Saccharomyces cerevisiae S288C: one gene and its partners. Each later gene encodes a partner of the first gene's protein in a complex. Each region holds a gene or a part of one and is shown on either strand. Other genes may lie near its edges. The genes, in order: MRPS16, VAR1, RSM10 and RSM26.

Region 1 (2,768 bases):
ACAGTAATGCCTTTTCTTTACTCACGCCAACGCCTACAACAGATTCCGCATTTAATTTTAACATAGCTCTGCTATCGAGACAACGTAGCAATATCATATCGTCCCCCTTAGCTAGTACTCGTTTACCTACAGCAAACGTGTCCACTGAAGAATCCTCTATTTTACCAAATGAATCATTGAAGCTAAAAAGAGATTTATTGCGTCTTAAAAGGTAAATAGTGCCGAACAGTCAGGAGCACACAATACATGACCTATAATGACACTATCTTAATGAAATTCTATTACACTTTCTCTTTTCTTCACATTCGATTAAGAATTTAATTTATTCCATTTCAAGTCTCATTCTCCATTTTCTGGTTGGCCATAGATGTATTATTTACAAGTCTGATAGATATAAAAGCGCCAAGTAAAACATATATACAACATATACATATACACCTCGCATCAATTAAAACACGTTCCTTTGCTTTCCTTTCTTTTTCTTTTTTTTTTTTTTTCCGATCTTTTTCACTCCAATGTTTCCATTCTTTCAAATACAACTTTCCTATTCACATTGCTGTTCTTACTAGTGGCCCATGCATCATTTAATATACCAGCCTTTCGTAATAGTTTAGTAACTGTTTCGCTAGGTTGTGCTCCCACACCAATCCAATATTTTGTTCTATCAAAATCAAGCTTCACGTCTTTAATAGGTACAACGCCCCTCTTCAATTCTCTCTTGGTCACTGGGCTGGGTACCGGCACGTAGGTTCCTAGTACCTCGATCGGTTTAGCATCCCTCGCCTTACGGGAATTAGCCACTACGATATTATAGACCGGACTATTTTTTCTTCCAAATCTAGCTAACCTTATTCGTACTAGACCACAGGTCATACTTGATAAACTCTATTACAATTTCTTAACGGAATACCAGTCAGAACTCCTCCGTTACTTAAGTCGTGTATATATTCCCCTTCCTTTTTTCTTACAACTGTTCTTGGTGTACTATTTCATTTTTTCCGTCCTGAATGATAGATGATCATAATTAGTGAAAATTTTTCTTTTCGCTGCAGTGTTTAAAATTTTAATTATATCATCTCATCTCATCGCGCAATTAGAACTTCCTCGGTCGCAGTTAATTCTCTCAGAGAAGAGTTTTAGTTTGAAAAGGTTCAACTTATTTTTTTACTGATTGAATTCAACCAGGTAATTTCTAGATTTTGAACAGCATCTCGCGAATTGAATCAGCAAATCTCAGAGTTCATCATGGATCAAGACAAAGTTGCTTTTCTTTTAGAGCTGGAGGACAAGCTGGCTAAAATTCGTTCCCAAGTAAACTCTAAATTGGAGAATCAAAAGCATATTGCTATAATATTAACTGCCGTTGAGGAAAATATTGCAGGTCAAGCTACAAATGATGTTTCAAAAAACATTGTAAATTATATCATTTCCTTTATGTCACTATTGGATCAAGCAGTAGACCCATCTACTCATGAAATAAAAGATATTCAATTGGCTTCCTCATCTACATATCTTCTAGATCTGATATTTCATTATTCGCCTAAGGTATTATTAAGATCGAAGTTTTCTGAAATCCTAACGAAAATTGCCCCATGTATCACTGCAGAAAAGGCTAATGCCCCTCTAATTAGAGCTGCTATTGGTTGTTTAGAATCTCTTCTTATTGCTCAAGATGCACAAGCCTGGAACAATACTTATGATCTAAACGTCACTCCAAAAAGAGGTTTGCAGGGTATACTTGAACTTTCTTTAGATGTAAGACCAAAAGTTAGAAAGAGAGCGCTAGATGCAGTTCATGCGGTCTTATTAAACCCTCCTGTTGCACCAACTGCAGAGCATGTAGCGGCAGTTTTTGTAGCAGATTTCTGTGACAAGCAGTTAGCAGGTATTTTAAATGATCTCTCGAATTTATCAAATAAACAATTGAAAGCACAGAAAACAAAGGAAGACATTAACGCTAGTGTCATGCGCTCTCTAAGGTTGATTACTTCAGTCGTCTCTACTGGACAGTGGCCATCTTCACAGATTGAGCCTCTTTGTGATGTACTATTGGGAGTCACCAAAAGCTCAGAGCAATATCTCGTTTCTGCATCATTTGAATGTTTTGAAAGCATGTTCAAAACAATGGCAGAAACTACCATTTCTTCTGGATTGGCTGAAAATAAGTACCTAAGAGTCTTGGATACCATTTTTGCATTAAAACCCTCAAATGTCGATACATTATTAACCAAGTCCTGGATTGCTGTGGTCATTAAGGGTATGTCCACTTACGCAACACATCAACCACTGAAAGCGCTACGTAAAATTCCTGGTGTATTTCACATTATGTGCACATATTTAGCTAGTGAAACTCCAGAAGTGTACCAAGCTGCCTCTCAATGTCTTATCTCAATCCTTTCTGAGTCTGTTAAAGATGATTTGTTATTGTATACACCAAGTGTGGATGAGAAAGTTTTCAAAAACGTAGATGAAATCATCTCTCAAATTGCGAAAACATTTATCGACTTTTTATCCATTAGATATTCCCATTGTTCCAGAGAAATTCTTAAGATTTTGGTGGCAGCATTCAACAAATTCAGATATAGATCTAATCCTCACTTTTTAAAATCACTGAAAATAGTCGATACATGGAGAGTAAATGAAGAACAGTTTATGGATTTGAGAAATGAAATCGAATTAGTAATCGGAGCCTCCATTTCTGCTATGGGCCCTGAAATGATACTCGCAGAAGCACCCCTGAATTTAGACAATCCATCTTCCGAAAGACC
Region 2 (3,775 bases), on another chromosome or scaffold:
ATTTTATTTATTTTTTTTAATATTATATATTAAAATATAATAGAAAAAAGAGTATTATATATTAATATAAAATATATTAATATAAATAACTAACCGCCCCCGCGGGGGCGGTTTATATAATTTAATAATTAATATATTAATAATAATTATAATAGTCCGGCCCGCCCCCTGCGGGGCGGACCCCGAAGGAGTAATATATATATATATTTTTATTTAATTAACTATCAATAATAATTATTTATAATAATAAAATATAAATAGGATCCAAAAGTAGGATTAATTTATAATTTTATTTGATATTTATTTTTAATTAAATTATTATTATAATAATTATATAAAAAAATTAATTAATTAATATTTTTAATATAAATAAATTATAATTTTATTTTTATATAATTATATGATATTATATTATATTTTATTTATATATAATTATATATATATAAAAAGTAAATATTATTTTATATATTTATATATATATATATATTATTTATTTATTTATTTTATTTATTATATTTATTTTATTTCTCCTTTCGGGGTTCCGGCTCCCGTGGCCGGGCCCCGGAACTATTAATATATATATTAAATAAAGTTTAATTTAACTTTAATATTATATTTACCATTTTTATTAATATTAGAATTATTATATAAATTATGATTAGAAGGGATATAATTTAATTTATAATTATTATTAATATTACTTCATAAATATTTTTTATTATTAAAAGTACCATTTAATAAATTAAGTGTACTAGTTCTACCATTATTATTACTTAATCTACCTTTAAATTTAATAGATCAACCAACTAAATATTTATATATTAAAATATCTATAGGAATATTATCAATAGTTATATTATTATAAATATTATTAATATTACCAATATAATTATTATTATTATTATTATAATTATTATTATTATTAATATTATTATTATTATTTAATAAATTAATTATATTATTATATTTATTATTATTAATATTATTAATATTATTAATATAATTTATAGAAATATTATGATCATTTAATTTAGGCATAATATTATTTAATATACGTTGATAATTAGTTAAGATACCATTATTATATTTATCTATATCATTTAAACTAATATATTTACTAAAAATATCACTATTTAAATAAATATATGATAATTTAATAGGTTCAATAGTTACTTTTTTTTTATAATAATAACTTAAAATATTACATAAATTATTATTTATATTATTATTTATAATATTTATTAATTTATTTATTATATTTATATAATAATTATTATTATTATTATTATTATTATTATTAATATCATTATTATAATAATAAAATTTAATATTTAATTTATTTAAACTATGTTGATTAATAAGTTTACTTATAATAATTTTATTAATATTTATATTATTTAATTTTAAAGTTATTATTTTATATAATAATTTATTAATTAATTTATCATTTATAGTATTTATAATTTCTATATTTTTATTATAATTATAAATTTGTAGATTTCAATTATTTATATTATTTAAATGTTGTAATTTATTATTAATATTCCCCGCGGGACCAATCCGGTGAACAACCGGATTGGCGCCCGCGGGGTTTATATTATTATTATTTAATATTCTTTTTATATTATTTATTTTTTTATTATTTATATCTAATAATATATTCTTTAATAATAATTTCTTATTTATTAATGAATCTAATAGATTATTAATAATAATATTATTATTATTATTAAGTTTATTTATTATTGATAAAATTATATTTAATAATTTTAATTTCATTATTTTTTATTTTTACTTTTTATCTATTATATATACATATTAATATTAATATTAATATAAATAGAAATATATATATATATATAATATGCATCCTTATTATAATATTATTTATTATTATAAATAATAATATATTAGATATTTTTTGCAGTTATTAATAACATTATATTCTTTATAATAATAATATAAATCCCAAATAAAAAAAAATAATTATTATTAATAATTTATATATAAATAATTTATAAAATAAAATATTATAATTTTATATATAAAAATAAAAATATTATTAAAATAAAATATATCATAATATTATTAAAATATATATATAAATATATAAATATATATATATATATATAAATATAAAGAATTATTAATTATTTATAATTTTTAATATATTATTATTAATTAATAAAATAAAATCCCTTCTTAAGAATAAAAAGGGTCGGACCGGACTATTATATAAATAATATTATTAAAATAATAATTATTATTATTATTATTTTTATATATTTTATATTTATTAAAATTAATTAATTAATTAATTATTATTATTTATTTATTTATTTTATTTTTATAGGAATAATATTAAAATTATTATTATATATATGTATTATTACGGATGATGTAGGATTTGAACCTACGTAGCCAATAAAGACTAATGATAGCTCAAATATCACACTTTAAACCACTCAGTCAACCATCCTTAAGAGGAATATAAATATAAATATAAATATTAATATAAATATAAATATTAAATAAACTCCTTTCGGGGTTCCGGCTCCCGTGGCCGGGCCCCGGAACTATAAATATATTATATATATATATTATAAAAATCTTTAATATAATATTATATAATTATTAATATAAGAACTTTTAAACTTTTATTAATTTATTTTCTCCTTCGGGGTTCGGTCCCCCTCCCTAACGGGAGGGGGTCCCTCACTCCTTTCTTAAAATAAATTATTATTAATAATTATTATATAATAAGAATTAATATAATTAATATAATTAATTTTATAAATTATAATATTAAAATAATTATTATTATTATTATATAATTAATCATATATTTTTAATTTATTATATTTATTAATATAATATAAATTATTATTTAATATTTAATATTTAAATAATATAAACCCCGCGGGACCAATCCGGTGAACAACCGGATTGGCGCCCGCGGGGAATATTAATAAATTAAATATTTAAATAATTATAATTAAATATTATTAATGTATATATAAATTTATATATTATATAGATAGATAGATAGATTTATAATATATTTTATTATATTGTTATAATATATTATAATTTATTTATAAACCTAATTATTATATTAATTATATGAAAATTATAAATTATATATATTTTATTAAATATTAATAGTTCCGGGGCCCGGCCACGGGAGCCGGAACCCCGAAAGGAGATGTTCACTAATATTATATTAATATTAATATTAATATTATTAAATGAATAATACAATAAAAATTATATTGTGTTCAATTAAATATATTTAATATATTTATATATAAAGAATTTATTATTTATTAATAAATATTATCATAATATATATATTTCTTATTTATTAATAAATATTTTTATTATTAATAAATAATATATCTTATTATGGTAATTTATATTTATTTATATAAATGTTTATTATAACAATATTTATAAATTATTATTATTAATAATATAAAAAAAGTAATTATATATTATCCATTATTTATTTATTTATATATTAATATATTAAAAAAAAGGTATATTATATATTATTATTATTTTTTATTATAATTTATATATATTATTATTATTATAATATTTATATATTTTATAATAATTATATAATTATAAGAATGTTATTAATTTAATCAAATGAGATTTTATTTTATTTTATTTTTTTATTAATTTCATTATTTTTTATTTATTTATAATATATTATATATATTATACACCGAATAATAATAAGAATGAAACCATTAAACAGAATAAACCT
Region 3 (2,792 bases), on another chromosome or scaffold:
CTCAATATGAATTCAGATTCCATATCTGCTACCAAGAATGTTTTTATATTATTTTTTACCATTTTCAGATTAGCGGAGTATATTGTATACAAACTCTCTGACCAGAAGTATCGGTTACACACATCCCTGAATGTCCAACATTTCAGGTGGAATTCGAAGAAGAATACAAACAGAAAAAGGACACTTTCCTTTAGCAAAGCTTACTTACCAAGAACAAATATACTACCGATTTTTGTAGCCGATGGACTAAAAAATAGATTCTCAGGCCCGCTACCTGGTAAGTCCTTGGAAAGCTTCCAGAAACTAAATTTATTGAGCGATAACAATATTAAGCGGTATGCAGTACCAGGAAACAAAGCAGTGAACACACTTTTATGGCAAGAGCAATACTCATAACGGGCCGCAATATTAGTACAAAATTGTTCATCATATAGTTAAAAAATATAATTAAACTTACTTATAAATTCAGTATAACCATTTAATCTACTACTTTTTGCCCCTCTTCTTCACCTATTTTATTTACAAGTACGAAATCTTTTCGGTCCCAAGAACCAGCGTAATTATAGGATTGCCATCATCTTTTTACTTCTTTTCCAAATGTTTTTTAAAATCGGGGCTATCCAATAGTTCCAATACTTTTTGTCCGACAGCACTAGTTTGAGCTTTATCATCGTTTCTCAGAGAATACAATTCATCGATATTGCTTAGTGATTTTTCGAGGCCATTGGCGTCCGAACCCAAGTCCAGCGATATTTCGGACCTTTGAAAGAAGTTACATTTCATTCCGACGCCTGCCATAGAGTGCTTCGTAATGTAAGCTATCAACATCTGTAGCACTTCGGGGTTCGTATCCCAGGCCCTAATGAGCCTCTTATGTGTATGTCTTTCAAAATTCTCTTTGGATTTAGCGTGCACGAAAGGTGATTTTATTACAGTCCACCTTTCTCTTCTCGTGGGCAAAGGTTTAGGACCTGTCAATGGGATACCCAAATAGTAACCTGTTCTAAGTATGAAGTCTGAATAAAAATCGAGGTTTTCATTGTCATACGATCTTAACTGAATGTCTGCAACTAAATCACCATATTTGATAGGTAACTTTAAAGGAGCATAGTAGACTGCCTCTACATTTACAGGATATGGGCGCGTCGACTGTGTTCTGATAAATGATCTTAATGCAATGGTATTTCTAAGCATTGGCCAATGTTTTTCCCCCTTTTCTGATTTTGCACGGTTCGCATAATTCTAATTTGTACCAAATAGTTTCATTTCATGCCCTTTCTTGCATTTTTTCCTTTTCAAAAGAAAATAGATGTACAGGTATTACCCGCCTGGTACATAGTTTGCTAACATTCTTGCCCAATCTCTCTGCTGTTAATAAAGGATGTGTGGATACATGACTAATTTCCGGATTAAACAGTGACGATAAGAAACGGTATGGCAAGAGTCAGAATTTGATAAGACTTCAGTAATATTGATTATCGGTCGAACTAAGCTACCCTCTTGGTTAAATTCTAATGACTACCAGTGTGGTCAATATTTTAGGGTTATCGGTGAACGATAACAAAATCCGTAATTGTTTCCTACGCTGGTTATTACTAAGTAGCCACTCGGTGGCTATCTCTAGCCGTTCATCAATCATGTCAAAAGTACAATCACTGAGCTTATTAAGTCATCCGCACGTGGAACTCACACAAGCCCCGAATTTTGTCAGCCATTCCGTGGAAAATCCTTTATCTCGTCACTCTTGTACGGAAGTTGCACCTTTAGCCCCACTCCCAGATCTTCAATCACAGAGGCAATGAGGGTGGCTGTGCAATGTAAACTTTCTTATCGCTTCCTGTTATGATTGATTACCATGCGCGGTAGAAGGATTGAATGAGGGGTGTGGGTGTGATAATTCATGTACGGACCCTTTCCTCCCAGAAGCTTCTGCACGAAGTGGTTACATTGTGAGTACAGGGTCTTAAACATCGCCGTGCGGCGTCATTTTGCGGGGCTCATCATTTATTTCCTACTTCTATGACGTTTGTTAGGGCAGGGATGTAGATTTTGGTCATATACTTTCACCTGACAGAAGAAAAAACAAGGTCTTAGAGCAGTATTCCCGAATTATTGCCTCTTTCCTTGGTGGGTGCGGGTTAATATTAGATGAACGGTGGGTTGTGGTCAAACCCGGGGTAGGTTTTAAAATGTCATGCGTTTTCGTCATTTACATAGATATATACAGGGAAAATATATATATATATATATATATATATATATACCTAAGGGAAACAATTTGAATAGATAAAAGGTCTTTTCCTCTTATTCCGTTCTTTCTTTTTAGAGTACTATTAATTTCTACTATTTCTCCTATCTTTCTTTTCTCATTAGTAATAGTCTAATCATTTATATTCTAATATTAACTTTAATAAAGCAGATATCTTCATCAAGTGAACTGTTCACACTTAATTCACATTTATTTGAGGCAACAATACGTATATTTACTAATTAAAGAAAAAACTTCGTACACAGAATTGAAAATTTTCGATGGGCGAAGGAACTACTAAGGAAAACAATAATGCAGAATTCAATGCTTATCACACGCTGACTGCAGAAGAAGCCGCTGAATTCATAGGCACAAGTCTAACTGAAGGTTTGACCCAAGATGAGTTCGTCCACAGATTGAAAACAGTGGGTGAGAACACATTGGGTGATGACACTAAAATTGATTACAAGGCAATGGTCCTCCATCAGGTATGTAATGCCATGATCATGGTCCTTCTAATATCCATGATAATCTCGTTTGCCAT
Region 4 (2,891 bases), on another chromosome or scaffold:
AATGAGGACATCCAAAGATCTGTATCACAGGTATTTATTGATGAAATTTGGTCGCAAATGACCAAAGAAGGCAAATGCTTACCGATTGACCAAAGTGGTAGGAGAAGCAGCAATACCACCACTACGAGATATTTTATATTATGGAAGAGCTTAGACAGTTGGGCTTCTTTGATACTACAGTGGTTCGAAGACTCTGGAAAACTGAATCAAGTCATTACGTTATACGAATTGAGTGAAGGTGATGAAACAGTCAATTGGGAGTTCCATAGAATGCCCGAAAGCTTGCTCTATTATTGTTTGAAGCCCCTATGCGATAGAAATAGGGCCACAATGCTGAAAGATGAAAATGATAAAGTAATTGCCATTAAGGTTGTTTAAAACACGAGCGAGAGGATAAAATAAAACTATTTACAGTATATAAGATTTTGGTAGATCCCCTTCTACCCGATACCTTTATAATTACATATGAGGGTAAGAGGCTATCGCTTCCTTTCTTTTCATTACTTCGATATACCAGAGAATATCCTATTATTTACCACTGACCAATTCAAGTTATCTAGAACATTCTTCACGTATTTGGACCGGTTACCAACGCCATAATCATGTAAATAAGCATGATCCCACAGATTGACACAGATTATAGGCATGGTCCAGTCTTGAACCTTACCATTCAACTTAGTAGACTTTCCTATCAGTTCTTTCATTTGTTTCAAGGTAGCAAATTCATCGATGGATATCGCACTGTTTAAATCAAATGACTGGTTCCTGGGAAAATAATACGGCGTACCATTATTATTGCTCGTTAATATGAAGAGTTTTTTCTCATTGTTTTCAACTAGAAATAACCAGCCTTGTCCCAAGACTTCATTCTCAGCACGGTAAATCATTTCCTCCTTCACTACTTCCCAATCGCTGCCGTTGAATGAATCTTTGATTTTGGATAAAAAAAGCCTAGAAGGCTCTGTCTTCACAACGGCGTTCGAGTTAGTGCCATGTTCAACAGCAGAAGGTAGAATGTTCTCCACGAATAAATGGTTATTATGGATAGAGGACGCCAAATTGAAGATGTTTGACTGTAATGGATTTCCTGCAGTTTTCAGCAATATGTGAAATGGATAATATGATTCCAAAGACTGTCCCGCTGTCGCCAGCGTTAGCTTATCACATAGATATCGCTGGTAGTCGAACCACACCGTCTTGAATCCCGAAGAACTGAGTATATTAGGCACTCCATTTTGCAGTAGGGCCTTAGAATTTGGTAGTTTAGGTACTACGTGAATACCCCTTTTGAAAACAAGCATTTCTCTGCGTCTTAGTTGCGCCAAGAAGACGATATTATGTGGTCTTCAGAAATTTGCCTGCAAAATATCCTCTTATTGTGAAAAGACTTTTGCTATACCCTTCTTACTTTTCCATGCTTTGCGATACTTCTTGCTCAGTCCAAAAAAGTACTGCGGCACCTCTCCTAAGATTCTTGGAAAGATGGGAAGTGAAAAAAAAAAATACAAAAAATAATGAGAGCTAAGGGATTCGAACCCTTGCATCCGAAGATATCAGAGATTTTAGAGGTTAAATCCACCTAAATCTGACGCCTTAAACCACTCGGCCAAACTCCCATTGTTTGTTGAATGGACTTCATAAACAATCGCATATCATTGATTGGTTACTTTTTAAGAAGGGATTGATGCCAAAGTCAGATGGTAACCATTGGATCAAGTGATAACACGTTTAAATGAAACAGTACCCATTTCTATAGACCAGATACCACGGAAGGATTACTGTAGAGGTGAGATATGAGATAGAGGGAATTGCCATTCGGTTAATAGCATATATAGGTTTTTATATGGAAGATTTGTGGGGCAATTGATTACCTTGTCAAAAATATATATAATATCTTGGAGCTGTAAAGGAAAGGCAATGTACAAAATCGACCAAGAGCTTTACTAAGTCTGGACAGTCGTTTGTCTGCCGATGTGGAAAAATAGCTTTCAATATAGTTATAGGAAGAATTTTCATAACAAGTGCGCGGTCTTGTTCCCCTTAACAGGTTCCGAACCTAGTATGGGAGAGGTTTCATTGACTTCGTTATATACTTCATTCAAGTTTGTAAGCCTACCGGCAATAAGGATTTGAAAAGTACGAAATGAAAAAAGACAAAACAAAAGAAGATTAAAGGTCAAACATAAAGGATAACACCGACATGCATAGAACGGCAATATTTCTAACTTACCGATCATGTATGAGAAATTTCAGTACACTGAGTAAAACATTAACGGTTTCTTCTGGTAAAGTAATCAGAAACGGTCCATTTAGGAGAGTAATTCGTGAAAAGAACCAAATAACGAAGGCGCCATCAGTAAAAGCATTTAAAGAAAATAGCAATAGCGGGATAATAAAAGTACATGATCCTATAGCTACTACGATACTTAATGAACCGACAGTTATTATCGAAAGGCAAATAGAATTTATGAACGTTTTTCTAGGTTTCGAGCAGGCTAATAGGTATGCCATAATGGATGTGAACGGAAACAAAATAGCATCAATGATGGAAAGAGATTTTTCTATAACAAAGGCCATAATGCGGCAGTTTTATCGTCTACATCGTCCTTTTTTGGTAGATGTCTTTGATAATTGGGGAAATGTAATAATGACGATTAAAAGGCCCTTTTCGTTCATCAATTCTCATATAAAGACTATCATACCTCCTTCCGCGTATGTTGATAATGGCAGTGACTCCACTCACTATCACGACGGTAAAGAAGGAACGACAGTAGGAGAGACCATTCAGAACTGGCATCTCTGGAGGCGTCGTTACGAATTATTCCAGAAAGATGGAGTAGAAGGATCCACTTTTGACCAATTTGGTAAGATAGATGCACCTTTCTTATCAT

Evidence for each region.
Region 2: MRPS16 (region 1) and VAR1 share a complex: the UniProt entries of both Saccharomyces cerevisiae proteins name them as parts of the mitochondrial small ribosomal subunit.
Region 3: MRPS16 (region 1) and RSM10 share a complex: the UniProt entries of both Saccharomyces cerevisiae proteins name them as parts of the mitochondrial small ribosomal subunit.
Region 4: MRPS16 (region 1) and RSM26 share a complex: the UniProt entries of both Saccharomyces cerevisiae proteins name them as parts of the mitochondrial small ribosomal subunit.

Annotation. Positions count from the first base shown.
Region 1 is NC_001148.4:528,478-531,245, forward strand, and holds MRPS16 (mitochondrial 37S ribosomal protein bS16m MRPS16), read right to left. Parts: upstream 874-2,768; coding exon 508-873; downstream 1-507. Other genes in the region: CIP1 (Cip1p), read left to right, coding at 1-215; mRNA-binding protein RRP12, read left to right, coding at 1,246-2,768. UniProt on the Saccharomyces cerevisiae protein: Component of the mitochondrial ribosome (mitoribosome), a dedicated translation machinery responsible for the synthesis of mitochondrial genome-encoded proteins, including at least some of the essential transmembrane subunits of the mitochondrial respiratory chain.
Region 2 is NC_001224.1:46,905-50,679, reverse strand, and holds VAR1 (mitochondrial 37S ribosomal protein VAR1), read right to left. Parts: upstream 1,780-3,775; coding exon 583-1,779; downstream 1-582. Other genes in the region: OLI1 (F0 ATP synthase subunit c), read right to left, coding at 3,727-3,775. UniProt on the Saccharomyces cerevisiae protein: Component of the mitochondrial ribosome (mitoribosome), a dedicated translation machinery responsible for the synthesis of mitochondrial genome-encoded proteins, including at least some of the essential transmembrane subunits of the mitochondrial respiratory chain.
Region 3 is NC_001136.10:538,205-540,996, reverse strand, and holds RSM10 (mitochondrial 37S ribosomal protein uS10m RSM10), read right to left. Parts: upstream 1,195-2,792; coding exon 583-1,194; downstream 1-582. Other genes in the region: YDR042C (uncharacterized protein), read left to right, coding at 1-396; Na(+)/Li(+)-exporting P-type ATPase ENA1, read left to right, coding at 2,530-2,792. UniProt on the Saccharomyces cerevisiae protein: Component of the mitochondrial ribosome (mitoribosome), a dedicated translation machinery responsible for the synthesis of mitochondrial genome-encoded proteins, including at least some of the essential transmembrane subunits of the mitochondrial respiratory chain.
Region 4 is NC_001142.9:616,644-619,534, reverse strand, and holds RSM26 (mitochondrial 37S ribosomal protein mS42 RSM26), read right to left. Parts: upstream 1,302-2,891; coding exon 501-1,301; downstream 1-500. Other genes in the region: ESCRT-II subunit protein VPS25, read left to right, coding at 1-378; AIM25 (Aim25p), read left to right, coding at 2,201-2,891. UniProt on the Saccharomyces cerevisiae protein: Component of the mitochondrial ribosome (mitoribosome), a dedicated translation machinery responsible for the synthesis of mitochondrial genome-encoded proteins, including at least some of the essential transmembrane subunits of the mitochondrial respiratory chain.